4 linked regions of the Tamandua tetradactyla genome follow. The protein of the gene in region 1 purifies or fractionates together with the protein of each later gene. This does not show direct contact. Links are inferred from orthologs where the notes say so. Each region holds a gene or a part of one and is shown in the gene's direction. Other genes may lie near its edges. The genes, in order: CAMKV, GPATCH8, NOLC1 and AP3B1.

Region 1 (6,907 bases):
GCGATGCTGGAGGTTCGCAAGGCGAAGCGGCTGCAGCTGGCGCCGCGTCTGCCCCGCGTGTCCGGAGCAGATTCTGCCCGCCGCCCCCGGAGCCCCAAACGCCCCACTGAGCTCGCGGTAGCTTCCAACCCGTGACGGACCGGCGCTGCAGGTGCGGGGCTGCCGGGGAAGGGGGGCGCCTCCCGAACGCACGCTGGGGGGTCCTGGGGATTGGATCCCACTGGCTCGATGTTCCGGATGCAGAGTGCGCGGGGGTGCCGCGAGGGCTAGGTGTCCCGACCCGGGTGGAGCGCGGGGGCTCTGCAGATCCCATGGGGTGGCGTGCGGGGTCGGACTAAAGTTCCCCGTCCCCTCGGACTGCCCGGGGGTCAGGGTGGAAGTGAAGCCTCTGCGACCCAAGTTCAGGCGCATCTCCTCTCCTTCCCCCCCGTCGCCGGACTACGAATTGTGAAAACATTAGCCCTTCAAGATTCGTGGTCCCCATTGGGGTTGGGGGCCCGAGGGCAGAGACGTCCGTCCTCGTTTACAGAGCCGCATCCAGCCCCTCCCAACTGCCCCCGGCCCCCTCCCTCCCGCTGAGCAGTCACTAATTTCCATGACAACGGAGAGTTCTTTATTGGCGACAACCCAAAGGGGGCTGGGCGGGGCTGCTGCGGGTTGGGGGAGGAGGCTCCAAGCCCCTGGGCACTGGCGGACCCCCAGCCAACATCCAGCTGCCGAACCTTCACACGGGTCCAACCGGGGTCCAGGGCACAGACCCACGTGCGCGGTGGGGGTGGGGGTGACACATGTACCCGCTAGGGGGTGCGGGGCTTGATGCTCACACGTGTGCTCAGCATGTGTGTGCTGTGCCAGCGGGGGCGAGCAGTGCTGTGGATGGGGGTCAGGGTGGCACCACCGTGGAGGTTAGGAGTCCCTGGCTGGAGGGGAGAGGGGCGCAGGGTGAGCTGTTTTTCCCAGTTTGTGGTGACTGGCAGAGACCCCAGCTCAAGGAGCTCTGTTAAACTGCCTTTGTCCGCACCCCCACGGGGCAGAGATTGCTCAACTAGGTTCCCTCCTAGATAGCATGTCCCTTTGTCCCTCAGCAAAAGCTCAGAGCCTGCTGCAGTCTAACCCCTGTCCTGCCTCCCCCCAACCTCCAGACCCAGGATCACCTGCAGAGACCTCCCGGCCTCCCCCCCCCCCCCCCCATTTCAGAGTTGATTCTTGACAGCTCTAGTCACCTGCTGGGTCTCAATTTTCTCAAATGGTACATGTGGTGTCTCCCTTTCCTCCAGGCCAGGATAGTCTCCAGAGTGGGGCAGGGGTCTCTCTCCCTTTCTTTCACAGCATTTGGGCTGGTTCCCCAGGTACCTGGCCTGTTGTTCACACTGTCGCCCCTCCTCTCCAGCTCCATATCTGGCCACCTCTCATTGGCAGGCAGACAGTGGGGAGAGGAGGCCACAGAGGCTTTGATCTATATCTAGGGAAACTGAGCCATTGATTGGGGGTCGGGGGACGACTGTGCAATTATACCGTTTCTGGATTTCTTGTGGAACCACTTCTAGTCCCATCCTGCCAGGGCTCCATTGTGGGAGAGGTTAAGCTGAGCTGCAAGAGGGGCCCCAGAGACCCAAGGCTAGGAGAGTACAGCAAACGGGTGGATGGGTGGGACTGGCTGGGCAGGTTAAGCAGAGCTGGGCCCGCTGAGAGGAGGGGCTATTGAGGGAGACAGCCAGCTCTCCAAGCCTTGTTTCCTTCCCCCCCATGCTTGGCTCAGGGGGCTGCGACTAGCCTCTTCTCCGGGGCCAGGGTTGTGTCTTCCACACTAAGCTCGTTGTGTATCTGAGGGATACAGGAGAGTTCAGCCCTGAAGATCCAGATACCAGGGGCAGCTCCTGGCCCAGGTGGTCAGAGCACATGGCCACGGAGGCCTTAGGGCTCTGCTGGGCACCCATAGATCCTATCAGAACCTCCGGCCTACTTCCTCCATCCTCTCCCTTGCGCGTGTGCCCCTTTTACTCTGTTGTCTTCTTGTTCCTTATCCATCAAAGGTTCTGCCTTTATCTCCCTGTGTATCCGTCCTTCTCATTCCTGCGGGCTCTCAGACCCCTACCTTCCCTTTCCTTGATGGGGCTGGGATCATAGGCCCTCCCCAGAGGAAGGAGCCAAACTAAAGTCCAAGGGAATTCTTGGAGAGAAGGCCTACTCAATACCTCTTTCCTCACCCCCTCCCTTGTTTTAAAACTTCTGTCACTGTAGCAATCCTTTTACTCCAGCACCTTCGTATGCATTTCCCCTCCTCCACCCACAGGAAAGCAGGGTCCCCAGTGGGCTCTCTTTCTGGGGTTCAATGATTGGGACCCCAGGTACCTGGAGAGGCCAGTTGGCTCTTGGCTCTGCCTGCAGGCTGAAGGCTGAATTTTCTGGAGGTAGCACTGGATTGTATGCCCACCCCCAAGACTGAATATAATTCCCCTGCACAATTCCTCCTTAGAAGAGAGAGAATCAACCCTGGGAACTGTCAACTACGGTTTAGCTGAAGCCCAGAGCCCAGCCAGGGCAGCTCCCTACCCAGTCCCCTGAAGCAGTTGGTCTGTGGGCTAGAAGCTTGGCTCTGCCTTTTAACACAAGACCCTACCTGTGAGGCCCCCATCTCCCCTGGCCTTGTAGATGAGGTCTCAGCTGGGAGCTAGACAGGTTGGGGCCTATCTTTTGTAACAGGAAATCCAGCCCCAGCCTGTGAGAAAGAGAGGAGAACAGGGGAGGGTAAGGGGTGCCTGCAGGCTGGTATTCACAGCTGCCACTAAATCAGGAGGTGTTTCCCACAGTCAGGCAGTCAGAGGCCTCCTGGGCCTCTCTTGGCCTCCCTAGATTTGTTGCAAGCTCTGGAGCCCCACATGGGACAAGGAATCAGGATAACAGGATATTTCTATTTATGGGTAGGAAAGGTGGGACCTGAACCAGGTTGACCCCACTGGAGGTAGAGTAGGACTTGAATATGGTGCCTCTGGGCCACTGGAGCTGGCCTCTGGCTCACTTGAGCTTCCCCTGGGCCAGTCTTGCCGAAGGCTGCCATGGGGCTCCAAGAGGACCCTTTACAACCTGGGTGCCAACAGGTAGAGGCTCACTCAGAGTTGACTGAGGCCCAATTCCCTGGGCTCAGTGGTTAGGCCCAAGGGTCAGGCAGTAACTGAGAAGAATTTAAAGTCAGCTGTAGCACAGTGGTTCTCCGCTCCTTGCAAGATCCTTTTGGGTAGGCCCCTCTGCAACCATTCAGTTTCTCTGCAGCTAATGGAGAGAGCCACATCTACAGATAAACTGCTTCTGTGATGCTCCTATGCCCCCCAATATCCTATTGTGGATCTGAGATAGACCCAAGAGCGTATGTTCCTGGGGTTGTGTCTGGGCTGTCTAGGCCAAGGGGAGGAGGGGGGAAAGGTTGAGAAATGCAACTTCTTTCTGCCTGGCCTCCCACCGTTCCTGGAGCTGGCCATTGGCTGCTTCTCCCAGCCTCAAGTCCAGGGCCCCCCTCAATGTAGGCAGGTACCCGGGGTTTGGTGCATAGACCCATAGTCTCCTAGGCAGCAGCCATAGGGAGCAGGAGGTAGAGTGGGTAGAGGTGGAAGGTCTTTCTCCCCTCTCTGTCTTGGGGCCAGGTCTGGGGAAGGGGCCAAGCAAGTGTTGTAGGACATGGCTTCAGGGGCCTTTGTGACTGTGAGCAGAGGCCCAGGCAGTAGAGATAAATCTCAAGAGCAGCCTTGCCTCCTCCCCATCACCCCCAAGTGGCACAAGTGCATATGCATGACAACGAGCTGTGGGGACATACAATTGCAAACATATGCAAACTTAGCCACCTCTGCAGGGCTGGGAGCTGTTAACATCTAGGATGGAGGGTGGAGGGTGGAGGACGGTGTCTCAGAAGAGGGGTGTTTTGTCCAGTTTTGGAATATCAGGTTTGTTTTAGATAATTTGTTGTGCAAATAACCTTATAACGTCAGAAATCACAGTGAAAGAAGAGATTCAGCTCTGGTCACAGCCCTTGCTCAGGTGGAGGCTGCTTTGCAGGGAAGCTGGGGTGGGCAGCACCCTTGCTAGTGCCCACACTTCCTGCCATTGAATGGACACAGCTGAGCTTAACGAGTCACCTGTTGTTGGACGTTTAGGTAGTTGCTGAATTTTTAATGTTATAAATAACTCTGCTGTGACAAATCATAGGATTCTGAAGGGAGGCTTTGGGGGAAGGGCATACTCGCCAGAGGGAACAGTGTAAGCAATGCAACAGAGCTGGGACACAGGTCCCTCCCAGCCCCTCCTAGGGATCCTTCAGGCTGGGGTACCACCCTCCTGCCCTATATATGGCCCTCAGATCCTAGCCCGGGAAGGGAATTGCTGCCCGTCAGGGTCTTTGAAAGGACTGATGTGGGTCGCGTCCCCTCCCCCAGATTGTTCTCACATGGAGATGGGTGGCCGGCAGTGGTGGGTGACTGTCACTGCTCTCAGCTGCAAGAGCAGGATTCCAGCACACACTCCTCCCTTGCAGACGTGGGAGCAGGGCTGTGGTCATGGTGGCAAAGACAATCAGTCGGGGACGATCTTCAAAGCTTCTCTTTGCTTCTGTGATGCCTCACAAGATGGCTTAAGCCCTGGTTTAAGTGAGGCTGGTGAAATGTGCTTGCGTTTCTTGAGCCCAAGCAGTCCAGACGAGGGAATGATGGAATTTGTTCCCTGCTGGTGAGGGCAGATTTGAGGGAGAATTTCCAGGAATGCCACCCCTGGGACTTCCCTCTGCCAGGGTGGGTCATAGGGCTTCTCTGGGCCTTGGCCTGTGACCCCAGCTGGCAGAGTCCCTCAAGCCCAAGCTGCCCCTCTGGAGAACAAGAGGGTGGCTTCTTCCCGTCTCCACTACCCTGAGGCTGTGAGTGCCTCCAGGTAGGTGAGCATCTAGGTATCTAAGGCTCCAGCCCAAGGCCTGTGCAAAGCAAGTGCTAATCGGTATAGAGGGAGAAAATGTACAGACAGCACGATAGAGCAGTTTCAATGTAGCCTCACTGCAGAGCTTGCTGAGGTCCAGTGCCATGCTAACCAGGCACTGTGGAGGCAGCAAGGCAAAGCTCCAGACACTAATTCTGCTACCACCACCCCTGCACCCTAAACTTATCTCTGGAACAAGGACAGGGGGTGCTGTCCTTTGAACTTTGGAGCCAGCCCACCCAGCACCACAGGTGAGGACTCTACCATAGCTGGCAGGGGTGTAGACGCATGGGGCACTATGCCCCAGAAGCACAGACTGCCTGGAGCCCACTGAGCCATCTGCATGCAGCCACCTAGGACCTAACTTCCTAAGCCCTTTGTGGACCCTAGCAGTGAGGCACCGGGGAAGCTTGTCTTGCTCTTCCTGGCCATCATCCCTGCGTGCATCCTAGCAAATCCCTCCCTTCCAAGATCCAGAACTAATGCTGCCTCTTCCTCAAAGTCTTTCCTTACCTCTTCACCAGATTTGGGTTCTCTGTTGGAGGAATCCCCTAAGCAACATGCCTGATGCAATATTTATTAAATTAATAAAAGTAATCATATATAACAGTAAAAATTCTAACCGAAAATTAATAAACCAAAGATACAAATCTGCTCCTCTGACACCCAATCCTTTGCCCCACAGAGAACTCTTATTTTCTTAGATGTTCTTCCAGAAAACAGTTTGTGAGTGTACACCAGTATACAAACTTTAAAAACGGTACCCAGATAGCAGTATACTCTACCCACCATTCTCTTCCTTGCTCTATCACCTTAACAGCATACCTCAGAGACTGCCTTACAACAACACATTTCAGTCTATTTTCTTTTTTTCAGTAGCTACCAAGTATTCCACAGTATCATGGCCATAATTTTTATTAATATATATATATATATATATATTTTGATGCAACAATGTACAAGCACATACATTCTTAACATATAAACATTCCATACATGGTATATAATCAATGGCTCACAATATCATCACACAGTTGTATATTCATCACCATGACCATGTGTTAGAACATTTGCATCATTCCAGAAAAAGAAAAAACTCTTACATACCATACCCCTTACCCCTCCCTCTCATTGACCATTAGTATTTCCATCTGTCCAATATATATCTTTTTTAATTTTAACATTTGTTCCCCCTATTATTTATTTATTTTTAATCCATATGTTTTACTCACCTGTCCATACCATAGATAAAAGGAGCATCAGACACAAGGTTTTCACAATCACACAGTCACATTTGGAAAGCTATATCATTATACAATCATCTTCAAGAAACATGGCTACTGGATTTATTGATATTTTTTATCATGAAATATAACAAGAATCTAGGAATGTGCACAAAAATGTACATCTTTACAGATTACTATGATGTAACACCTGTGTAACCACCACTCAGATTCAGAAATAGTCTCGAAATAGGCTCTCCAGGTCACCCATGTGTCCTTACTACCTCACAACCCCTCCCTTTCTCTTAGAGGTAACTGATATCTGTCTCTTGGTGCTTATTTCCTAGTTTTTCTTTACAGTTTTACTACTGTGTATATATCCCTAGACAGTATGTTAGTACTGCCTGTTTTGTTTTTTAAAGTGAGGTGGAATTGACACAAGTGAATTCAGGGGCATTTAGTACACTCACAATGTTGTGCAACCACCAACTCTCTCTAGTTTCAAAACTCTGTCATCCCAGAAGAACATTCCATACCCAGTAAGTAGTCACTCACTATTCCCTCCTCTTCCCATCCCCTGATAACCACTAATCTGCTTTCTTTCTCCAAGGATTTGCTATTCTGGACATTTCATATCAAAGAAATCATATGGTGATCTTTTAGCATAATGTTTTCAAAGTTCATTCCTTTTTATGGCTGAATAGTATTTCATTGCATGCATATGACACAGT
Region 2 (7,843 bases), on another chromosome or scaffold:
GCCCAGCCATCAGAGAGGATGTAGCTGTGCAGGTGCATCCGTTTGGGGGGTGTAACACTGGTATGCGCCACTTTGAGGCACGGGGCCGTTTGTGCACATGCATAGGGTTGTGGCAATAGGCCCATGTTATGCCTTTGTGAATTGGTGGCAGCTGTGACCCAGCTATGCAGGTTGGCACTTTCTCAGAGCTGGGAAGTGAGGCTGAGGGCTGTGCACATGTGCAGTTCTAGAACCACTGTTAAGTGCGGTTCCCAGAGCTGAGTGATGTGATTGGGGGCCTGTGCGTTTGCGCGGGCCTGGGAGTGCAGTAAACGGATGCGGATGCACTGAGCTCATGGCGGATGCACTGAGCTCATGGAGGGGGCGTGAGGCTGTGCGACACTCTGGGTGGGGGGCAGGGGTAGCCTAGGTATGGAGGTTAGTGCATGCAACCTTTATGCACTGGCAATAGCCTGCAGGGAACAGGGAGGGGGAGGTAGTGCTCGGGAGGTGTGCAGGAGAGGTCGGTTGGGCTGCAATTGGGGTGGGGGTGTAGGGCAGGTACGTGCAGTGGGGGTTGGTGGGGTGGGGGCGCCTGGAGCTCGGGGAATGGGAGCGGGAGAGGGGGTTCAGGTGCGTGGGGTGCGGGTGAATCGCTAGTTACGGTTACGGGGCTGCTCTTGTGAGAGTAGCGCATTGGCCTGGCTTACTTCCTAGTCCCGTGTTCCCATCTGTGCACGCCCAGGGGCTCCGTGACTCTGTGCTTCCGTGCCACGCTCCAGCTTTCTGCCTCTCAGTTCCTCGTCCTGTGCAACCAGGGCTGCCACATGTGGTACATAAGTCTCTCCTAGGGTCAGCTGCACTCCTGAATTGCCGCCTCAATTCCTGTTCCTTGGAGGCAACTCTTTTAGCTCTTTTCCCCTTATTTTTATTATCATGACTATTTCTAGATATTTCTTATTTCTAAATAATATGCTTATACTGATATTTCTTATTTTCTTTAAAATGTAGACATTATCTACTTAGTTCCTATCATGGAAGGTTTAGTTGTCTTAAAGTGCCCCCCTCTCCTCCAAACATATACTTCTCCTCCCACATTCCCCCAATATGCTTCTATAAAAAATTTTTTGTTGGAGGAATATTCAGTGTTTATATTGTTGTGACTATAAATTTTACTCACAATCGAGCCACGTCACATAGTATGATTACTATGATTACACTGTTTCCTGGCAATTTTTCTCTCTTGAATTTATCAATTGCCTTTCCCCACCATGTGCCTAGTTTTCTATATTCCTATCATGAATTTTCACCACTCTTGAGAAGTGTAAATCTCCTCACTTTCAGTCCCACTAGGTATGCTATCATATTTTTTGTTTGTTTGTTTTGCTGACAGTCTTTCTAGGGCCCTCTGTCCTCCTATGTCCTCATCTGGACTGGGTGTTTGTTAGGCCTGCTCCATTGCTGTTATTCTGAAATGACACTGTGGGCATTCCCTTTGTTTCTTTCTTAGGTTGTCTACCTGCTTTCTGGATCTTAAGTCTTTCTTGTTTTACTCTCTGCATTAGCCATAAAACATCCTCCAGTAACTTCCACAGAAATGGTGCATGGCAAGTATTTTTTTTCTTTTTTAGAGCATACAGGTGAAAAAAAAACAACTCATATTTCTCCCTCACAGTTGATTACGGTTTGCCTGGGTGTAGATACCTAGGTTGGGAACCACCCTCTTAGAATTTTCAGGGCATTACTTGTCTCTGGTGTTTTGGAGATATTCAACACCATTACATTTCCTTATCTTTCATATGCAACCTATTTTTTTCCCCACTCTTTAAGAATTTCTCTTTGCCCCATGTGAAACATCTCATGAAATTTCACAATAATGTGCCTGGCAGTGAGTTATTTTTCATACATTGTGCTGGGCCATCTGAGTTTGGAAACTCAGGTCCTTCAGCACTAAGAAATGTTCACATTATTTCTTTATTATCCTCTTTTTCCCCCCTGTTCTTTCTGGAAATCCTACTGTTCAGATGTGGGATCTATCCTCCAACTTTGTTATCTGTTCTCTCCTATTTCCATCTCACCCACTCAAATCTTTATGCAGTGCATACTATATGCCAATCATTGTTGTAGATACTGAGGACATAGAAGGAAGCAAAACCGAGAGAAATCTCTGACCTCTAGTCAAGGAATACAGATAATAAGCAGAATAAGTAAGTAAATTATAAAGTATATTAGAAAGGGATAAGTGCTGTGGAGAAAAATAGAACAGGGAAAGAGTTTAGGGAATTCAGAACACGTGGCTCAGTAATTTTAAATAGGGTGATCAGGAAAGAGCATACTGAGAAAATAACATTTGAATAAAGACTGAAAGATGAGGGCAGCAGCCATGTGCTTATCTGAGAAAGAATGATCCAAGTAGGAAGACGAGGATACACATAAGCCGAAGGTGGGGCAGGCAAAGGCAGAAGCAGACCTGGTGTGTTTAAGATATAGTCAGGAGGTCAGTGTGTCCAGGGAAGAGGGGAGCAGGGGGACATAATAGACCGTGAAGTCTAAGAGGTAAATTGGTAGTGGTAGGTGGACTTTATAATGTGAATGACATGGAAAATCACTGGAGGGTTGGAGTAGGAGACTGACTTTTTATGAATCGACTGACTTTTTTTTTTTAACAGGATCACCACAGCTGCTGTGCAGAGTATAGGGAGCAGGGATGGAATCAGTGAGAACATTTAGTAGCTACTGCAATAATTCAGGAGAAAGCAAAGGTGGCTGGAACTAGGGTTCTTTTATTCTGTTTCCTGGGAGAGTTCCTTAATTTATTTTCTAACCCTTGTATTGCATTTTTCATTTCTACTTAAGAATTTTTAATTTCCAAATATTCTTTCTTCATTAATGGATTTTCTTTTTCTTTTGCTCCCTGATGTGATCTTATGTCTCTGTGGATATCATCACGATTCTTTTGATGTATTTTTCTTCTACTCCTTTCATTATCTCTGGTTTCTCTGAATTGCTTTTTTTTTTTCTTTTAGTGTGTATGTGTGTGTGTGTGTGTCATTCCTGGTACAAGTTTCCCTCAAATACCTGGTAATCATAGGAAGGAGGCATTAAAGAACTGGGTGGAAACTGTGAGTGGGATTTGCTGACTGATTAGCTTCTCTGTGGGATAAATGGGTAAGAACATGTTCTTTTTTATAGGAGGCATCCCTCCCTCACCATTGCTAGTACTTGTACATTTTTTTCCCCTATGCCAGTCAATTTCCCCATAGAGGGATCCTCTGGTCTTTTGCCAGGATTAGAAACCCAAGTGCCAGGTCTCTCTAATCAAAATGTAGGCTTTCACCTACTCCTTCCATTTTTTAAGCACGGCACTCCCTCCCTCAGCTGTGCCAGACATGTCAAAGTCCAGAGTCTCTGTTTCAGCCCTTCTAGAGAGTAAACTTCCAGTTTGCTCCTGGGGGGAGAAGGAGATATAGGTTTTAACTGCTCTGTAAAATGCCTTGCAACCAATCCTCTTGTTTTCAGCCTCATCCATACCCTCACCTTCTGAGGTACGTGAAGGTTTTCTGGTACTTCTCAGTGTCAATCAGCTTGTTTCTTGGTTTCCTCTATTTTTAGCTTTCTTTACTAGAGCCATTTCCATTTCCTATGTTCTCTAGCTTCCAAAACTTGGTTGACATCTCATCTGCTGTTATCCCTTCTGATCTCTATACATATGAACTCATGCCCTTCTCATTCTTTTATTCAAATATCATTTTAGTGGGGTTTAGAGAGGTAATGGAGGCAAATGTGTGGTGTGTCTATATAATTCAATCTGTGACGTTTATCCTCAAGTTTCTTTACAGCGTTCTGTGTGTTCTATCTCCCATTAGATGGGGAGCTCTTTTGACTGTTTATAATTGTTTGGGCTGGAGTTGGGGTAGGGCAGAGGGTAACAAAGGAATAGAAGATACACACTCTTCCTCCAAACATTTACATTCCATTTGACTTTTTCAGGGAAGGGTAAGGGCCATTTTTTCCATTGTGTGATTTCTGTCAGCCACCCTTTTTCAAAAGCAGCGATGTCCTGCCAAACCTGTGTTTTGTGTATTTTGGCTAAGGGTGTTGGAGGGCCAGGTGGAGTCACCAGGAAGGTCATAGGATGGGAAAATCTGATTTAATCACACAAAGTCGGTGCTGAGCAGAAGCCTAGAGATTATTAAATTCATTTTTCTTAATACTGAGGCCCAGAGAACTTTAATTGATTTGGATCAACTTCAGTCCTTTAAGAAATAATACTTATCTCAAAGGGTTGCTCGAAAATGCCAAGCTTTTTCCCGTCATAGGACTTTTGGGTCAAATATTCCTTCTGCCCAAGACCTTACAAGGCGGGCTCCTTTCTGACCCTCAGGACAAAGGTCGTTTCAGAGGTTTGTCCCTCTCATCACTGCACTCAGTTTCATTTTTTTAACAACTCATTAAATTAAATTTAAAATTATATAATGATTTTATTAGTTATCTGACTACACCCATTGGAATGTAAGCCCTAAAAGAGAAGGGATCTTTACAGACTGTCACCGTTTTAGCCCTCAGAGAGAACTGGGATTCGAAACTGAAGTCTAGCTCTAAAGCCTGCGCTTGCATCCACTACTTCATGCTGCTGACAATAAAGTAGAGGGTGGACCTCGCATACACAGATGGCTAAAAGAAGATTTCACACCGGACAGACAGGCAGGTGGAAAACAGCCAAGCCCATCCGCACCTCTGACCTTTCCCTCCGGAAGCTTTAGTAGCCTCGAGCGCGAGTACGCACGCGCATCCGCCGAGCTCGCTCTGGGTCGTGCACGCAGCAGGGACTTGAGGGAGGGTACCGCCTGCGGAGCTTGAAGGCGCCTGCGCAGCTTGAAGGCGCCTGCGCCGGCGGGTCTCCCGTCAGGACGCGCGTTCTCGTTCCCTCCCCTCTCCCTTGCTTGCGCGCGCCCGGTGGGCGTAGGAGGAGGCGGGGAACTGGGGAGGAGAGCGGAGGGGGCGGTGTTGCCGTGAGGAAAGGAGCGAACCGGAGAGTGTCGTCCTGAGAGGAGTGAAGGCGGCAAAATGGCGGACCGCTTCTCCCGCTTCAACGAAGACCGAGACTTTCAGGTAAACACGGGCGCCGCCGAGGAGCCGGGGAAGACGCGGCCGAGCCCGGAACCTCCTTCATCCCCGGCTCCCAGATCTCTTTCTTTCCAGGCTCTGCTCCGGCCTCTGAACCGACTCGTTCTCCTCCCGCCTCCGATTCCTCAAGGGGCCTCCCAGCTTGAGGCGAGGCCGCATCTCATCTCCGTGCATTCTCTTACCTCTTAAAACTCAGGCCGCCAGCTCTGCGGCTTGGGCCTTTTTGGGCTTCGAGTTTTGGAACTCCAGCCTTGCGAGCTGGGTGAAGGGCTGTGTTTCTCTCCAGTTTGCCAAGTCTGTGGGGTCGCAGGGCTGACTCGTAGGGGAAAAGAGGGTTGAGAAGGTTTGCGGCGAGTGCTACTGAGGCCTGGGCTCCCAAACCCTTGGATTTTGCTCACACGGATCTTCTTGGGGGTGCTTCTCCGCTCCTCTCTCACTGTAATAAATAAATCCATTTTATAGCCTTATTTTTCCATTCCGCACCCGAAAAGAGTGTCTTGGTTATCAAAGCGTTCTTAGTCAAGCATTGAGATTTCCCCGGGCATAAATGTTGCTGTTGTTATTAGGCTGTTAATTGGGTTTGAAAAACAGTAAGTTATAGGACTACAGCCCATGTAAACTCGATCAAGTGAAAATCCTACCTTGAAAAAAGATTTGTAATAAGCATTATGATAGTGGGCTTTCCAAGCTTTTAATAACTAGTACCAAAAGCTTGATTTTTCTTTCTTCAGTTGCGGATATTGGTATGGAGAAACGTCCTTGCAAAAATTGTTGAGGAAAAAATTCTAGCCAAACTAGAATAATTCATCCTTTGGCTGTTTAAAATACCTTGCTGTTACAGAGCATCGTTACCGTGGAAATCTGGGAGACTAAAAGAGATTTAGAGAAATTGGGTACTTCTGGGATAAAATATGTCCTCAGGGTCTCAAAGAAACAACTGCATTACTGCTGCATATCCTGGCAACAACAATTTGGGTCAGGGGATGAACATCAGAACTCAAGTTTTTAATTCCACTGCAGATCTTCCTCAAAGCAACATGGGAATATGCTACACGTGTTTCAAAAGGCAGTTTGAGGGATTTGAATTTCCTGAGATGATTGCATTAGTACATAGACAGGTAAAGCAGTCTAGCAGTTTTAAACTAATATACTGTTAACTGTCTAGTACATAGATGTGAAGTTTAGCGGCAATAAGGGATCTGGGGGCTGTTGAAAAGCTTTATGATCATGTGCCTGTTGAATAGCTGCAGAAAATACAGGGTCTCCAGGTGTTTAAAGGGTATAATGCAGGTCCAGCTTAGTTTGAAGCAGTTCTGATGCCTGAAAAAGGTTATTTTTAGCAAGTACGGTAAAGCATTAGACTGCAAGGTGTGGACTTTATTGGTAATTTTTAAAGAGACAGATTGATAACCCAAGTGCTTATTAGAGGAGAGAATTTCAAGGTGACCTAATAAAATTGAAAATAGGTAATGTGGGCAATTAAATTTTGAGGAAAAATGGCTGTCAACCACAGGATTCCAGCAGGCTTCAAAACAGAACAAAACATACATACACACAGGATTAGCAGGGCCTTGAGAGAAGCTTTTGAAAACTGAATAGCAAAATATGAATGCTATCTCCTGGGAAATGGGAAAGATTAGCTTCTAGCTTTACAATACCCAATTTCTTGGTAAGATGATCCTCTGGTGCTGATGCTTTAGTTGGGTTTATGTCATGTTGATCAGTTGGAAAAATGTTTTTTATTCAGACGTCCTGCCATTATGGATAAATTGGGTATTGGGAATGGAAATCATTTAGACAGTTATGAGATATTAAAACTTTTATAAGTTATTGTGCTAACACTTATAAAAACATTCATTTAAAAATACTTAAAGTGGTGTTTTTTTTTCCTGAGGAATATAGATTGACTTTCACAAATGATGTGCCTTTATTTACAGTTCTTGGAGAGGAGAATGTGATGTAATAGGACATATCTGCATATAGTGTATTTGAAACATTTTCAAGTTCAGGTTATTCAAAATTAAATGTGACTTTCTTTTAAGTTTTTAAGTGGTAAACAAGGTGAAGCTACTGACTATTGTGGCTATTTTGTTTGTGATAATAGACTCGGAAACAAATCCAAAGTTCGTTTCCAAACAGTGGTTAGATCTTGTTGTTTTAAACAGATCTTACAGCACTGGAAATTTCCCTATACCGTCTTCTCTGGTAAGTTCTAAATGACTCTTACTTTGGGAAGATAATTTAGAATTTTAGGGTTTCATTCTTTGCCCATTTACTATCACGTGCAAATGCTAGAGGTTTTGAGTATTGTCTCATGTGCCAGAGAGGTGGGCTCATTGATTAGATTTTGTGAAATAACACCTAAAGTTGATTTCAGAGGTATTTTTGTATAATATAGCTAGAATCCTGTATGCTGCTTGAAGCATTTATTAATGGAGTAATTGTTATGGACATACGTAAAAATTTTTTTGATAATTATAATAATAAACAGGCACTGTTCTACAGGCTTTATGTGTATTATCTCATAATCTTTTCAATACCCCTAGGAGAAAGGTGTTGTTATTACTCCCATTTTTAGATGGAGTAACTCAGAGAGTTAAGTAACTTGGCCAAGTACACACAGCTGTTAAACGGCACAATCTGGTTATACTCTAGCATGGTATAAGCTAAAGACTCTCTGTTGACAATTGCTGTATTATCTCTGTTGACAATTATATATTTTATGTAGCTGTACTTG
Region 3 (7,299 bases), on another chromosome or scaffold:
TAGTCATTCCAGAGGTGGGCTCCCGATGGAACGTCAAACGCCATCAGGACATCACCATCAAGCCGGTCTTGTCTCTGGGCCCAGCTGCCCCATTGCCCCCACACACAGCTGCCTCCCAGGAGCCACTTGATCACAGGACTAGCAATGAGCAGGCAGACCCCCCAACCCCTTGCCTTGCCCCATCCACCTTGCTGTCCCCTGAGGCTTCACCCTGCCGGAATGACATGAACACTAGGACTCCTCAGTCCTCAGCCAAGCAGCGGTCAGTGCGCTGCTACCGAAAAGCCTGCAGATCAGCCAGCTCCCCAAGCCGGGGCTGGCAGGGCCGCCGTGGCCGCAGCAGCCGTTCTGTCAGCTCTGGGTCCAACGGGACCAGCGAAGCATCCTCATCCTCATCGTCGTCTTCCTCATCCCGATCCCGGTCCCGGTCCCTCTCCCCCCCACACAAGAGATGGCGCAGGTGAGCTCTGATGGCCTGTTAGGTCCTCTCCATTTAGGAAGTTCATGTACAATGGTTTCTTTTGAAAGCTTTTGCACATTAAGTTTGATACTTTCAGGCACTAGGTCTTCCACTTCTGTCTTTGGCTTTTGTCTTTCCCCCCTTTCCTGAGTTGTTGAAGGAGGCAAACTGTGGGAAGATAGCTTCCATTCTTTGTTGGAGTTTGGGTTGTCCCTGAGGTCTCCTGCTTCCTTGAGACATGCCTTGAGGAGACTGTTAGGGTTTGCTCTTGACCATGTTGATTCCTTCACATACTTTATCAATCCTCAATTATGGCATTTTCCTGGTGGTATGGGAGAAGGTGGAAGAGTGGGTTAATTCTTCATTGGAAACAGTCATTCCCGAAGTCCTTTGGGTGCCTCATCTATTTCCTGGTGGTGTCTTTTAATAACAGATCCAAAATTTCCCACTTAATCAGTGAAGTTTTTGGTTTTTGTTGGCGGTAGATATCTTCAGAAGTGGCCCCTACTATAAGTCTAGCACAGTCACCTACCCTTTATTCTATAGTGGAGCAGTCCTATGAGATATGGTAAAGAAGGAGAAACCCAGAGACTCAGGTCTGGCTCCCAACACCACAGAGAGACCTAGGGCTCAGCCCTTTATCTCTCTAGGTTTCCATTTATTTTCTTTTTGATAACTCTTTCAATTTTGAATTGCACAATTGAAAATAAAAATGATTTCTGTCCAGATACTTTGTTTATCTGTGAAGATAACTGTTCTAGACCTCTTCTATTCTACTTTACCTCTGGTCCTGAACCTTCTGACGAGAAGTCAGGGCAGGAGCCGGGGTGATGCAAGTGGAGTATACCTGTACCACTTCCAGCATTTTTGCATGGTCCTTTATTCTCCAGGTCCAGCTGCAGTTCCTCTGGACGTTCCCGAAGATGTTCTTCCTCATCGTCATCTTCCTCTGCATCTTCCTCGTCTTCCTCATCCAGTTCCTGCAGCCGTTCCCGCTCTCCATCCCCTCGCCGAAGAAGTGACAGGAGGCGGCGGTGAGCGTGTGTATAGGATGTCAGTGGTACCTGGGCAGGTACCTCAAGTTTCGAGTCTTGAATTGATGTATGTCTAGGGGCTGATGGTACCTTTTCCTCCTGTCAGGTACAGCTCTTATCGTTCACATGATCATTACCAAAGGCAGAGAGTCCTGCAGAAGGAGCGTGCAATAGTGAGTAGAGGAACAGGTGATGGGACCTTGGACTTGCCCCTGAGTTACAAGCTTAGAGAGTCAACTACAGCTGACTGTCCTGGCTCATGGTATGTTGATTTTCCTTGTCCCAAAATAGGAAGAGAGAAGGGTGGTCTTCATTGGGAAGATACCTGGCCGCATGACTCGGTCAGAGCTGAAACAGAGGTTCTCTGTTTTTGGAGAGATTGAGGAGTGCACCATTCACTTCCGTGTCCAAGGGTAAGCTTCTGCCCTAAGGTTAGGATGTCCTTTCTGTCCCATTTAGCTATCTTGATGCTTCTTTGTCTTTTTCCCCTTGCTCTGGGACACCTTTATTTCCTCAGTCAGAGAGTTGGCTGGTTGGGTAATGAGAAGAAACCACCCCAGATACTCTGTCAACCTGTGCCCAAGTGGCCACTCCAGCCCATGCTTCACCCTTCCCACCAGTGACAACTATGGCTTCGTCACTTACCGCTATGCTGAGGAGGCATTTGCAGCCATTGAGAGCGGCCACAAGTTGCGGCAGGCAGATGAGCAGCCTTTTGATCTCTGCTTTGGGGGCCGCAGACAGTTTTGCAAGAGGAGCTATTCCGATCTTGGTGAGTGGAAAGAGGGCCTGAGGCTTTGGCACTCTTCATCACCTTCCTAGAAGTGGTCCCAACCCTTTGAGGGTGGAGCTAGGCAGACTTATCTTCATCTGACAAATGAAGAACCTAAGGGGTGGGATGAGAGGAGAAGTGGGGGCTTTGGTGTCTTTGACAGAAAATCAGGACACTTAAAGCTTCATCCATTATTGGGATGGGAGGTTGCTGGCCATTTGAGGACCCTGTGTTTGGGAAGTGACGGTCAGAGACCTCATAATCTTGAAATTACTGGTCTCTCTCCTTTTATAGACTCCAACCGGGAAGACTTTGACCCTGCCCCTGTAAAGAGCAAATTTGATTCTCTTGACTTTGACACATTGTTGAAACAGGCCCAGAAGAACCTCCGGAGGTAACCCTGGGCCCTTTCTCCCCTTTTTTCTTCGGAGGTGCCCAACCTCCTCCACCCCACCTCCCCCACTCTAGGGGAGAGAGCTGCTAGTGAGGAGATGACTGTTTTGTAAAGAAATGGAAAAAAAGTGAAATAAAAAATGTGTAAAATCAGATTTTTTTAAAGGGGTATTTGTTTTTTATAACAGGTATTGAAACAAGTTAACTTGCATTCCTGTGTAAAATGGGTGGAGCTGAGGGGTTCGCCCATTGTTGGAACATCTAAATCACTATGCAGACTAATAAAAATGAACTAGAGAGAACTCCCAAGTGCTCTTGTGTTTCTTTCTGTGGTGCTAGTGCCAAATATATTCACTTTTCTTTAAACACAACCAGGGAGATGCTCATTTCCATCACGATCCTAGGACCTCTCTGGTCAGGTGCAGAGTCCACTGGATTTGAATGTATTCTTTGAGAAATCAGTCATGGTGGTCAGTGCTGAAACTTCAAAGTCATTGAATCATAGGGAGCTCTTTTTAGAATGCAGATTCTTAGACCTTCTGGGATGGGATCTGCGTTTCTAACAAGAGGATGTTCCTGCTGCTGTCCAGGAAGGGCCTGCAATAGCAAAGACCTAAGGAAAGTCAAACTTATTCCAAATAAAGGTTCCCCAAACTGGATCTCTGGTTACATAAACCATTCAGTTTTGTTTACCATTTTAGCTTGAGCACAATGTTTGGTGCACAGAAAGTGCTCAGGTGTTTAAAGAATACATGCATGTGGACAGATGGGGCCAGCTTCTTTCTAGGGAACAGGGACACGGAGTTACACCTGGGGGGGGTGCCTGTTTTGAGAAAAGTAGAGTAGAGGGGTAGCCCATGAGGAAGTGATTCTTACCCTTCCTGATGTAATGCATTAATGGAAAGTGATGAAGGTTGGTAGGATTGAAGGGATTGCTGCCTGCTAATGTGAACTGAAATATGGCAGAAATTGGAATTTCTTTATGAACCCGAGGTTTTATATTAGTTACTCATGGTAACTAATTGGGCGGCAGTTCTCTAGTTCACAGTGTGAACTCTTATCCAGGAGGTAGCGGAGTTATTTTTAGGACTTGCTATGTGACTGGGTTGGGTGCAGGATTTCTCTTCATGGAGCTAATGATGAAAAAGTAATGGGAGGGGAGCTGCCTTATATCTACGGGAGGTGCAGGGACAGATCCTGTCGGGTGGTTTGGGGGATCAACAACCACCACCGATAACCTGAGGAATCCTTTGTAACGGAGGGGTGAGTTTGGAGGCTGAAGTGGTATCTGAGAAAAGTGTCTCATTGGGTGCTGGAGGCAGTGAAGATGAAGGGGGAACCCACTGAATGGGGACAATTGGGAGGGTTTGTGACCAAGTCTAGGGAGTAAAGGACAGCTTGAACCGGGCGGCCCATGCATTACTGTGGAATACCAATTCCAGCTGGAGACCGGAATGCCGATACTCTGAGAAAAGAACCTCCTACAAAAGTGTAACGCGCGGGAAACGCCGAGGTTTCCCGCCACGGCCGAGGGCGTGGCCTTTACGTCAGGGCTCCGCCCACACAAAGTGGCGGACCGCGAGCTCCGCCCTTACCATGAAGACGACACGCTTAGGACCGGAAGGAGTTTTCGGCTTCCGCCTTGACCTTGCCTCCGACACGGAGGCGGGACTGCTCTGTGGAATACCTGCCTTTCCGGTATGCGCCCGCGCGGCGTAATGACGTTACAGGGCGCCTGCCTACCTCCTGCAGTTTCTAAGTAGCACTGTGTCGACGACGGTAGTGACGTGTGTATCCTGGAATATGGCGGACATCGGCTTGCGCCGCGTGCTTCCCAGCGATCTGTATCCCCTCGTTCTCGGCTTTCTGCGCGATAACCAGCTCTCGGAGGTGGCAAACAAGTTCGCCAAGGCGACAGGCGTTGTAAGTCCCGAGCTTGGGGCACTGGACAGGGTGGGACGACCACAAGACTCCAGGCCCTGATATGCTTAGGGTTCCGAATAGGAAAGTCTCTGGGGTCTGCCCGCCTGGTCTCTGCGGAGGCCTTTGTGCCGAGCTCTCGGCGGTGGCAGCAGAGGGCCTGGAGCGTCGCGCCTCCTTTTCCTCGAGGTCTGAATAGGTAGTACTGAATCTTGCTGCTTTTTCTTGGTGAGCGGTGCATTGGCTGCAGCATGGGACCCGCGTGGCCCAAGTCACATGGGTTGGCGGAGTGCTGCAATGAAGGGTCACCGTACCCCACCGAAATCGTTGGCGGCCCTTGGTGGGCTTTTAGTTGACTGAGACAGAGCGTGACTTGACCTAATTGACGACTTCATTTACCTCGGACTCAAGGTGAATGAAATTGCTTCAGAAATGAAGGCTAGAATTTTCGTTAATAAAGAAGAAAATAAATTAGCGTAGAGGCAGGGTTCTGCTCTTGTTATACTGAAGCAGAAGGATTGAACCTCATAGCCCTATCAAGCAAACGTAACGGTGGATCTTTGACTTAGCAAAGATACCAGGTCTACCATTAGTAGAGTGTAGCTTAGGCAGCTTGCTTGATCTCTCTGAGTCTGTTTCTATTTATACAGAGATGCTGTTATCCACTTTGGGGTTTTTTTGGTGAATTTCCGTAAGATGATATATACTAAGTTCTGTACAGGAAACATCAATGATTGAAAGCTGTTCCCTTAGCTATGATAACTTAGAATTGTTCCAAACATATATAAGAGGACGATGACCAGGATCTGAAAGGTTTGGAATCCACATATCAGGAAGAGCACCCTGGGGAAACACCTGGAGAGAGATTAGAGTGGTAGTTTGCAGTGTAGACATTACACGACCAAGAAGGTAGTCTTGTTTTTGTAGCAGAACCAGGCTGTGAAAGAGGGCGATTGGCTCAACCTCAGAAAGAACTTCCTTAGCTGGGACACAGTACCATGTAAACTTATATAACTGCTTTCTTATTGGAACAGTTTTGAATTGAATGTCAGGGAGGCTGCAAAGAAAATTTCCATAATGGGTTGGATGTAATTGGGCCTTTCAGAGTCAGGATTCTTGGGTTTTACAAGACAAAATTAATATTTGTGGAGGGATAGTGAGGGGCCAGCTGTTAAGCCCTTTCACATGCATTATCTCTTATTCTTTGTATTATTTTGGGGGGGAGGGGTGCATGGTCCAGGAATTGAACCTGGGTCTCCTGCATGGAAGGCAAGCATTCTGCCACTGAACCCCCCATGCACCCATATTATCTCTTATTCTTTCTGCAATTTAATGAAATGGATAGTATTATTTCCTTTTTTTAGAGAAGAAAACAGTCTCAGAGAGATTAGGTAATATGCCCATAGTCACACAGCTATAACTGGCAGAGGTGGTTTCATATCTATAGTTATCTGACTGAATCTGCACTCTTGTTTGTATTGTAATGCCTTACCATCTTTTGGAATCAATTTATAATCTATATGAGTGCTAATAATTGAATGCAATTCTATACTGTCTGTATAGCAGTTATTTACCAATCTTCTCTTCCAGTGATTTGGTATTATAAACCACATTGCCAAAAACACCCACTTGTATAAATGTTTAATTTCCTTGTTTCATGGGTAAGGATAAACTCCAAATAAGACAATGGTAGAATAAAGGAAATGCATGTTCTTTTAAGCCTTTCATATACGTGGTGGTGATGGTGCCATAAAAATCTCATGAATAGCCCAAGTATTTGGTATCCAAAATTGGGAAATACGCAAATAGATCAGATGTTTTTCTCCTGATTTGTGCAAGTAGACATAGTAATATGTACCGTTTATACCAAATGTAGTTGGGATTAATAGGTCACATTTAATGAAAGAATAACGCAAAACATGATCCTTCCTTGAAGAACCAGAATAAAATTTCCTTATCCAGTTCTCTCTCTTTTTTTTTTTTTTTACAGACACAGCAGGATGCCAATGCCTCTTCCCTTTTGGATATCTATAGCTTCTGGCTCAAGTAAGCCTTCCCTCTTCCACTTTGGCTATTTTTTCTCTGTGGCGGGCTGAGTGAGCTGTGTTCCTCAGTGTTTTTTATTCCTTGTTAGGCTGTGTTCCTTGGTTTAGGAAGGTCCTGATCCCCAGAAGTTAGTCTAATGTATGTCAACAGGTCTGCTAAGGCCCCAAAGCGGAAGTTACAGGTAAATGGACCGGTGACTAAGAAGGCTAAGAAGACTTCATCCAGTGACAGCAGTGAGGATAGCAGTGAGGAGGAAAAAACCCAAGGGCCTCCAGCTAAAAAGGCGGGTAAGACAGGGCAGGAGGTTGTGATTGGTGATTCCGGGAAAAGGATTTGTGGTTAGTGTGTACCATGTGCCTAATTTTTACTTGGATCTCTGCTTTTGTTCAGCTGTGTCTGCTAAGCGGACCACACTGCCTCAGCAATCTGGGAAGGTTGTGGCCAAAGCATCAGAAAGTAGCAGCAGTGAAGAATCCAGTGATGAGGAGGAGGAGGAGAAAAAGAAAAAGTCTGTCCAGGTGTGCAGCTTTAAGAAGGGAAGGGAGTTAATTAAGAGTTTAGAAAGGAAGAAACCTAGAATCCTGGCTTCTAGTGACCAAGGGGTGGTGGTGGGTGCGGAATAGGTTAACTATGAAGAAGAACCTGGGGACTTTCTGAGCAATGATCAATATGTG
Region 4 (7,740 bases), on another chromosome or scaffold:
GAGAGAGCACAACAGCAACTCGGCCTACCTCATCTCAGCACTGGCAGCTCAGCCCAGGTCTGTGGAGATGCAGAAATGAATCACCACGGGGAAAGTTGTTGGAACCCAGAGGCCTGGAGAGAAGGCCAACAGAGACCACCCTGTGCCTTCCCATGTAAGAAAGAACCTCAGTTGAAAGTTAGCTGCCTTTCCTGTGAAGAATTAACGAAATAAATCCCCTTTTATTAAAAGCCAATCTGTCTCTGTTGTGTTGCATTCCGGCAGCTAGCAAACTAGAACATATATATATAATGGTAAGAATATTTTCTTGTATTTCCAAGTTACTATATTTTTTTATTTTTTTCAATTAGAAATGCTGATGAAGAGTCAGTCAATGCATTTAAATATTAATGTAAGTATAACAAGTTTTTAATATTGGAAAATTTTATCATAGAAAATATCTACTCAGTTATTTCATGTTCATCATTTAATATTTGCATAGAATTTTATTTAGTCTATAATTCTCCTTCTTTTGTACTTAAAAATTTAGTGTTGTATATCAGTTATGCTAATAAAATGAATTGGGAAGTGGTTTGACCTTCTCCTTTTTAGTATTCATAATAGGTTAAACAGAAATAGCAGACCCTTTATTGGCGCAATAGAACTGTATTGCTCTTAGTGACTTTTGGTGTCAGATTTTTCCAGTTGTTCAGCTTTTCCAATTTTTTCTAGAGTTATTTAGTTGATTCAGGTTTTTGCAGCTTTTTGAATTTTTTGAATCAACTTTTATAATGTAATAAATTTAATAATTTGTAATCTTTTAAAATTAATTTTAATAATTTATACTTTCCTAGAAAATAAAGAGAAAAAGGTTCACTTAATAATTTAAGATTCTATTAATAATGAGAAAAAAATGAGAAAGTTTCACTATTTATGAAGTGTGCTTACAATTCAATAAGATGAATAACTTAAAATTAAGCAAACACCAAAGCCACATAATTAATAGAAAATAAAATTCAAATTAGGATTCATGTCTTATTTCAATATCAAAAGTTTCCTGTTTGGAGAAATTATACGTTTCCCCTAGTTATAATAAGAGACATGCAAGTTTAAACAATAATGGGTTTTTTTCCCCAGTCAGATTAGCAAACAAAAAGATTTACAGTCTTCATTGCTGGAAAGCATATGATGAAATAGAGGATTGTGGTTTACCCTGTTTTGGGTGAGAAATTTGGCAATATCTATCAAATTTTTCAGGGTGTATACCCTTTGATCTAGCTATTGGATTTCTAGGATCTTAACTTATGTAAATACTATTTCCATTATATGGAGATGACTATGGGAAAAGTTGTTTTCTAAAATTGGATATAACCTATGTGTCTACTAATAGAACATTGATTAAAGATGCAGCTATAAAATGAAATATTATATAGATGTTTAAAACAATGAGGGAACCATATATAAATCAATATGGAAAGATTTTCATAATAAGAGAAAAAAGCAAGATGAGTGGTATTATAGTTTTTACTGATATTTGGAAAAATATACACAAATTTGTTTTTAATGCTTAAAAAAAGCTTGAAACTTAAAAAAGCCAAAGTTAACTATTAATATGAGGGTCCAGATGAACAGAAACTGAAATCAGAAAGTTAGATTTTTGTATTCTGAAGAGATAAGAACACTAGTCCTCACCCTATGAATTTACTATTTTTAATATTTCTTTAAGTAGAGTATTAGAATCCTAAGGAAGTAAGAGACCGGTGCTGGTTTGAAAGCATTGTGTGTCTCAGAAAAGGCATGTCTTTTAATCCTGATTCAATATTGCAGGGTGGAAACCTTTGGCTAGAGTTTTTCCATGGAGATTGACCCACTCGTTTTGGGTGTGACCTTTTGATTAGATCATCCCATGGAAATGTCACAGTCCCAATTGTGGGTGTGGCTTTTTTTTTTACTAGATTGAGCGGTGACTCAGCCCATTCAATGTGTCTTGATTAGTTAACTAGAGTCCTTTAAAAGTAGAAACATTTAGGAGAAACCTCAGATGGAGATGCTTGGAGAACAGTTGCTTCAGAGCTGACAGAGATGCAGACATTTGGAGATGCTTGGCATGCTGACAGAGAGAGCTGATACCTACACATGGATGTTTGGAGATGCAGAGTCCAGCAGGGTTGTCACATGGCTTCCTGTGAGATGCCAAGCAAGCTGGAATCCAGAGTTGTGTCCTGGAGGAGCTAAGTGAAGGCCCACAGATGCATAGAGAGGAAACCACTGGCATCAGAAGCTGGAAGCAATGGAACCAGGAACAAGCACCAGCAGACACCAATCACATGCCTTCCCACCTGATGGACATTGGCCGTTCTTTTTTTTTTTTTTCACAATCACAGTCACATTGTGAAAGCTGTATCATGATACAATCATCTTCAAGAAACATGGCTACTGGAACACTGCTCTACATTTTCAGACAGTTCCCTCCAGACACTGGCCTTTCTTGAGTCAATGTATCTTTATCTGGATGCCTTAGTTGGACATTTTTATGGTCTTCGAACTGTAAACATGCAACTTAATTAATTTCCGTTTTAAGTCATTCCATTTCTGGTATGTTGCATTCTGTCTGGTAGCATTGAACGAACTAATATAAGACCCTAAGTAGCTTCTCATCACATTTTTTTGGGGGGGGATAGAAGTAAGCTTTATTTTTCAAGGACTATTTACTTTGCATCTTATATTCCAGAGAAGACAAACAGAAAGTTAATTAATTTTTTTGAGGATTATAGAACCTTAATCCCTGTACAAGGATAGTGCCCCAAAATTGTAGTTTAATATTCAAGGACAATGCAAAAAATATTGTAGCGCAATCCTACATGAATCTGCATGAAAAAGAAAATATTGCCAAATAAAATATTAGCAGAAAAATCAAGCAGTGAATTAAAATGACTCAAGTGATCTACATATGTTTATTCATTAAACAGTAACAGAAGCTAGGCTTTGGTTTCCTTTATCTTTAAAAGAGGACATTGGTGTATGTGTGTGTGTGTGTATATATATTATATATAAATATATGCTAAAGAATCTCTTACAGATACTTGGGTTTAGAATTTCTTGTATATAGAATACATGCAACTTTACTGGATATACTAGCTTGTTCTTCATTGAATTTCAGTAGTTCATACTTTCACAGCACTGTATGAATTAACAGATGTAAAACACTTCGAATAGTGCCTGTTACATATTCAATATTATACAATACATAGTAATCTATGATTGTTAATTCCATTAATCAGTATTGACAATCAACAGATTTTAGGTAATCTATTATCGCATCTCTGGAGACGTGTTCTAACAACTGAATTAAAAATCCGACAAATTTTAACTAAACAAATTCTGGAGGACGTTTCCTCTCCTCCTACGCAAAGCCACTGTCCTGCGGGTTTCCACAGTAAGAGTTTAGCCTTATGAGGAGCTGAGGACCACAGCTGGTCCTTGACCCTGCACCCACCTGCCCCTTCCTCCCAGAGGCCTTCAGAGGTTCACAGTTCAGGCACTCATTCCCCCCCAGTGCCCCCTACGCGCTCACTCCCCTCCAAGCACTCAATCCCCCCACCATGCCCCACTGCCCCCTACGCATTCACTCCCCCCTGCACTCACCCACTATGCCCCACTGCCCCCTACGCACTCACTCCCTCCCACCATGCCCCACTGCTCCCTACGCACTCACTCCCCCCCACTGCCCCCTACGCGCTCACTCCCCTCCCCGCACTCACTCCCCCCACCATGCCCCACTGCCCCCTACACACTCACTCCCCCCACCATGCCCCACTGCCCCCTACGCACTCACTCCCTCCCATTCCCGCACCCCCCCTCACCCCCGCAGCGATCTTGGGGGTCCCGTGACAGTTTCAGGACTTGGCTTCCCGGGTTCTGGGTTTTAAAACCTGCCCAGAGGGAGGAGTTTGGGGAGGGGGAGCGGAGGCCCTAAACCACCCGTGAGGGCGAGCTGGGTGCTGCCCGCACCCGCGATGAGAGCCCTCCGCTGGGGTCCCTAATGTCAGCGGACGGTTGGCGCAGGGAAGAGGGAAGGAGGTGCCCAAGTGACGGGCCACTCCTTGGCGCGCGAGCTGGTTCTGCTTTCCTTCTGGCAGGCTGAGGCCGCCGGCCGCCTCCCTTAGTGGGGTGGGGCGTCGGGCGCCGGGCCGTTCGCTCGGGGGCTGACACTGGAGTGACCGGCTTCCCCGCAGCGCCGCGAGTCGCCGGCGGGGACCCTCTGCCGGGTACTGCCCAGGGGCGCTGCACCGCTGGGCGGGTAACGGGAGGCTGTTTGTTGGAAGAGGAGGTCTTGGGGTGTGGAGGGAAAGGCACGCGGGCAGGAGAGGGAGGAGCGGAAAGAGTCACACCAAAGATAAATAAATATTCACGACGAGTTTAGGAAAATTGATCTGGCAGGTTAAAGGGCATTTCGGGAGAAATATGAAAGCTACTGGTGTGCAGAACAGTCAAGCAAAGAGATGTCCGAGGCCAGGAATCTCCTTTTGAGATCAAAATGGATACAATGGGTAGCTCTCTCCGAAAAATAAAAACCCCACGAAGTCGCAAATAAAGTCCGCAGCAAGCCCACAGCCTGGCTTCCAGGGGGCCACAGCCCGGACTCAGCCACCGCAAAAACCCGGAGTGGGAGCTCCGGCAGGCCTGGAGCGGGCCGGGTTCGGGCCAGCCTGGGCACTGGGCATGCGCAGGGGCTGGCCCGCCGGGTCCGCTGTAAACCGTGACGAGTCCGGAAGCGCCTGCGCGCGCCCCTCTGCGCCAGAAGTAGTTTTGTTCCGCGTCTCGGGACTGGAGCCCTTCTGGGAGAACCCCGGGCAGCACCCGCTCGATACACCCCCATCGCCGCGGCCATGTCCAGCAACAGCTTCGCTTACAATGAGCAGTCCGGCGGGGGGGAGGCGACGGAGCTGGGTCAGGAGGCGACCTCAGCCATTGCCCCCTCGGGCGCCTTTGGCCTCTTTAGCAGCGACTTGAAGAAGTGAGAAGAATGGTTTGGGGCGCTGGGGCGGATGAGGGGCCCGGGATCCCGCAGGAGCGGGCCCCGGGCGGGGGCTCCCGGGAGAGGGGTGGGCGCGCCCGGAGATCTGGTCGGAGCTGGGCGGTGACTGTCCCCGCGGGCAGGTGAGGGGTGGGCTTGCGTCCGTGGGCTGTGTGGGAAGCGCACCGGAGTGTGAGGGTCTCGTAGTTTTCAAACTTTGGTATAACCCCCTGTGGAGAGGTTGTCCCCACCCCCAAAGACCCTGACTGAGTTGGTCTGGGCTAGGACAGAGGAATCTGAATTTTGAACGAACACTTTTAGTCGAGTTGATGTTCGGGGACCGAACGTTGAGAAATTGTCCTGTCAGGGTGAAAGGAGTTTCTTTGGTAGTTGGAAATGGGAATGAGTGTGAGTTTTGCTGATGGAGACTTATTCCGTGATCCTGGAGTGAATCGGAAAGGGGGTGATTTTAGGGGCTTTATGAATGAAAAAACTGCTTTATACAAGCTTTAATCTTCTTGGCCAATATCCTTTACAGACAAAAAAACCAATTCTAAACAAAACAATGGAAATATGAGTAGAGAATATTTAAAAAGAGCGTTACTGAGAACAAATCAGAAACTTTTACAAGGTACCTTTTACAAGGTAATGTTTTTAATGTTTTTTAAAAACATTAATGTACACTTGGTTTTGTAAAAAGTTGGTAAAATATTTTGAGTGCCACTGAGAAATGGAATAAAACGTTGTTACTAAACTAATGAATTTATAAATAAATGAATTAAGAAAAAGCCAATTATTTTTATTGGCGGAGGGGTTTAAAAGGAATAGACTTACAGAATCCTAGAAGCTTTGTTTATATTTTATTGTGGTCGTTTTTTACATTTATAAATTTTTATTTTTCAGTACTAATCAATATGGTCACATATTAGCTTGTCACTAGATTACTGTGAATTAAGATAAAATATTTATGCTGGTAGCTTTGCAGGTGTCACAAGGGTGTAATTAAAATGTAAACTTTACTAATAAGATTGGGTAGTCTAGAAAGTGTTTAGAAGTTGAAATTGGAATTAAGATTTGACTTATTAAACTCACTGAAATCTTACAGGCTGCATGTGGAATAGTCTTTTACTTGTTTTCCCTTGATCATGGGTAGAAATGTTTAAAAGTAAAATATCTGATTTCATTTTTCATTCTGTGCGTTGAGATTATTTAGCGTTCTAACAAGGAGCTTGTTGCATTTCTACAGTTCCGTTACAGTTTTGCCTGTCAAATTAACCTGCAAATTTGCATCGTTTATTTGGCATGTAATTTGCTTACAATTAATTTACTTGTATACTTTGATGAATACTTTGTGTACATCTAAGATATTTTCCATTTTAGAGCCTCTGATTTTCTATTTTGTCAGATTTGGGCCTATTTGTGAAATATATTTGTCTTCAATTCTGTGACCAGTGTTATTGAGGTGGCTTTGCAGGTTCTATTTAAAATAAAAGTATCTAATGTTATTGAGTGCTTGCTAGATGCTAGGTATTTGTGCACATCACTTTACGTCCTGTAAACAATCCTATGACACAGACACTTCTCTGATCTCACTTTACAGATGAGAAAATCAAAGTATATTGCTAGGATTTAAACCCAGGCATTCTAATCTCAGCCCACTTTCAAGCATTTGGATGTACTACTTATTACTTGATGAAATTTATGTTGCTTTCAGTATTAGAGAATGCATAGAACTCCCTAAAAATTTAAAGCTTTGAAGAGCAGCTGTAGACAGTGTATGACCTTGAAGCTTCCAGAAATTAGAAACATTTGACCAATGAACTGCAATCTAAAGGTTTGCACAAAAACAAGGAGGCCCCTGTTTTGGGAAGTAGTCACTTAATCTCTCCTGAGCCAGTGTTCTCTAATTTATAAAATGGTGATGTTACTTTGATTTTTTTTTTTTTTTTTTACTTCTCAGGTTTAATACGATGATAATCGTGGCAAAATTCACTTGAAAAAGTTAAAGATTACTCTGTTTCTCGCTCTGATTTTAATGGTTTACTTGGATATAGTTTCAGGTTTACAGAAAAGTTGCAAAAATAGTACAGAGAATTTCTGTATACCCTTTACTCAGAGATTCACCAATTTTTAAACACTTTGCCACATTTGTTTTATCATGCTCCACACACACACACATTCATATCAAGTTTTCATCATGTGCCTTTATCCCTTAATGCCATAGTGTGTATTTTTTTAAGGTCAAAAATATCCTCTTACCCAATCACAGAACTGTTATATTCAGAAAATTTAGCATTGGTGAAGTCTATAGTCCTTAATCCAGTTTCCCAATTTGTCCCAATAATGTTGTTATTATTTTTTCACCATCTTTTTCTTCTCGTGTAGGATCCAGTCAAGGGTCACATATTGCTTTTAGTTGTCATATCTCTTTAATCTAGAGTAGTTTCTGAGCCTTGCTTTACCTTTCATAACTTTAATTTTTTGGAACAATACAAGCCTGTTATTTTATAATGGGTTAATCAGTTTAGGTTTGCTGGTGTTTCCTTGCGATTAGATTCAGGTTATGTATCCCTGGTCAGAATTCTACCATAAGTTATGTGTCCTTCTTAGGCTATTACATCTGGAGGCATAGGATCTTCTTGATGTTAATTTTTCTGGTCAAGAGGTTGTCCAGTTTTTCTACTGTATTGCTATTATTTTTCCTATTTCAAATAATCTTTCTCTGGGAAGACTTAAAGACCATG

What was found.
Region 2: the proteins of CAMKV (region 1) and GPATCH8 purify together in Homo sapiens (affinity purification with mass spectrometry; 3 studies listed by BioGRID and IntAct, counting the BioPlex papers as one, with this or other methods). This does not show direct contact. The link is inferred for Tamandua tetradactyla from reciprocal best matches to the Homo sapiens genes CAMKV and GPATCH8.
Region 3: the proteins of CAMKV (region 1) and NOLC1 purify together in Homo sapiens (affinity purification with mass spectrometry; 3 studies listed by BioGRID and IntAct, counting the BioPlex papers as one, with this or other methods). This does not show direct contact. The link is inferred for Tamandua tetradactyla from reciprocal best matches to the Homo sapiens genes CAMKV and NOLC1.
Region 4: the proteins of CAMKV (region 1) and AP3B1 purify together in Homo sapiens (affinity purification with mass spectrometry; 3 studies listed by BioGRID and IntAct, counting the BioPlex papers as one, with this or other methods). This does not show direct contact. The link is inferred for Tamandua tetradactyla from reciprocal best matches to the Homo sapiens genes CAMKV and AP3B1.

The regions. Positions count from the first base shown.
Region 1 is NC_135341.1:36,199,729-36,206,635, forward strand, and holds the start of CAMKV (caM kinase-like vesicle-associated protein), read left to right. Parts: upstream 1-3,893; 5' UTR 3,894-4,099; coding exon 4,100-4,145; intron 4,146-6,907. UniProt on the Homo sapiens protein: Does not appear to have detectable kinase activity.
Region 2 is NC_135332.1:22,912,070-22,919,912, forward strand, and holds the start of GPATCH8 (G patch domain-containing protein 8), read left to right. Parts: upstream 1-4,829; 5' UTR 4,830-5,046; coding exon 5,047-5,091; intron 5,092-7,843.
Region 3 is NC_135339.1:64,002,480-64,009,778, forward strand, and holds the start of NOLC1 (nucleolar and coiled-body phosphoprotein 1), read left to right. Parts: upstream 1-4,287; 5' UTR 4,288-4,462; coding exon 4,463-4,582; intron 4,583-6,569; coding exon 6,570-6,625; intron 6,626-6,732; exon of another isoform or gene 6,733-6,761; coding exon of another isoform or gene 6,762-6,775; coding exon 6,776-6,912; intron 6,913-7,015; coding exon 7,016-7,143; intron 7,144-7,299. Other genes in the region: PPRC1 (peroxisome proliferator-activated receptor gamma coactivator-related protein 1), read left to right, coding at 1-460, 1,351-1,494, 1,601-1,667, 1,786-1,907, 2,115-2,266, 2,561-2,664. UniProt on the Homo sapiens protein: Nucleolar protein that acts as a regulator of RNA polymerase I by connecting RNA polymerase I with enzymes responsible for ribosomal processing and modification.
Region 4 is NC_135347.1:53,554,620-53,562,359, forward strand, and holds the start of AP3B1 (AP-3 complex subunit beta-1), read left to right. Parts: upstream 1-4,722; 5' UTR 4,723-4,868; coding exon 4,869-4,996; intron 4,997-7,740. UniProt on the Homo sapiens protein: Subunit of non-clathrin- and clathrin-associated adaptor protein complex 3 (AP-3) that plays a role in protein sorting in the late-Golgi/trans-Golgi network (TGN) and/or endosomes.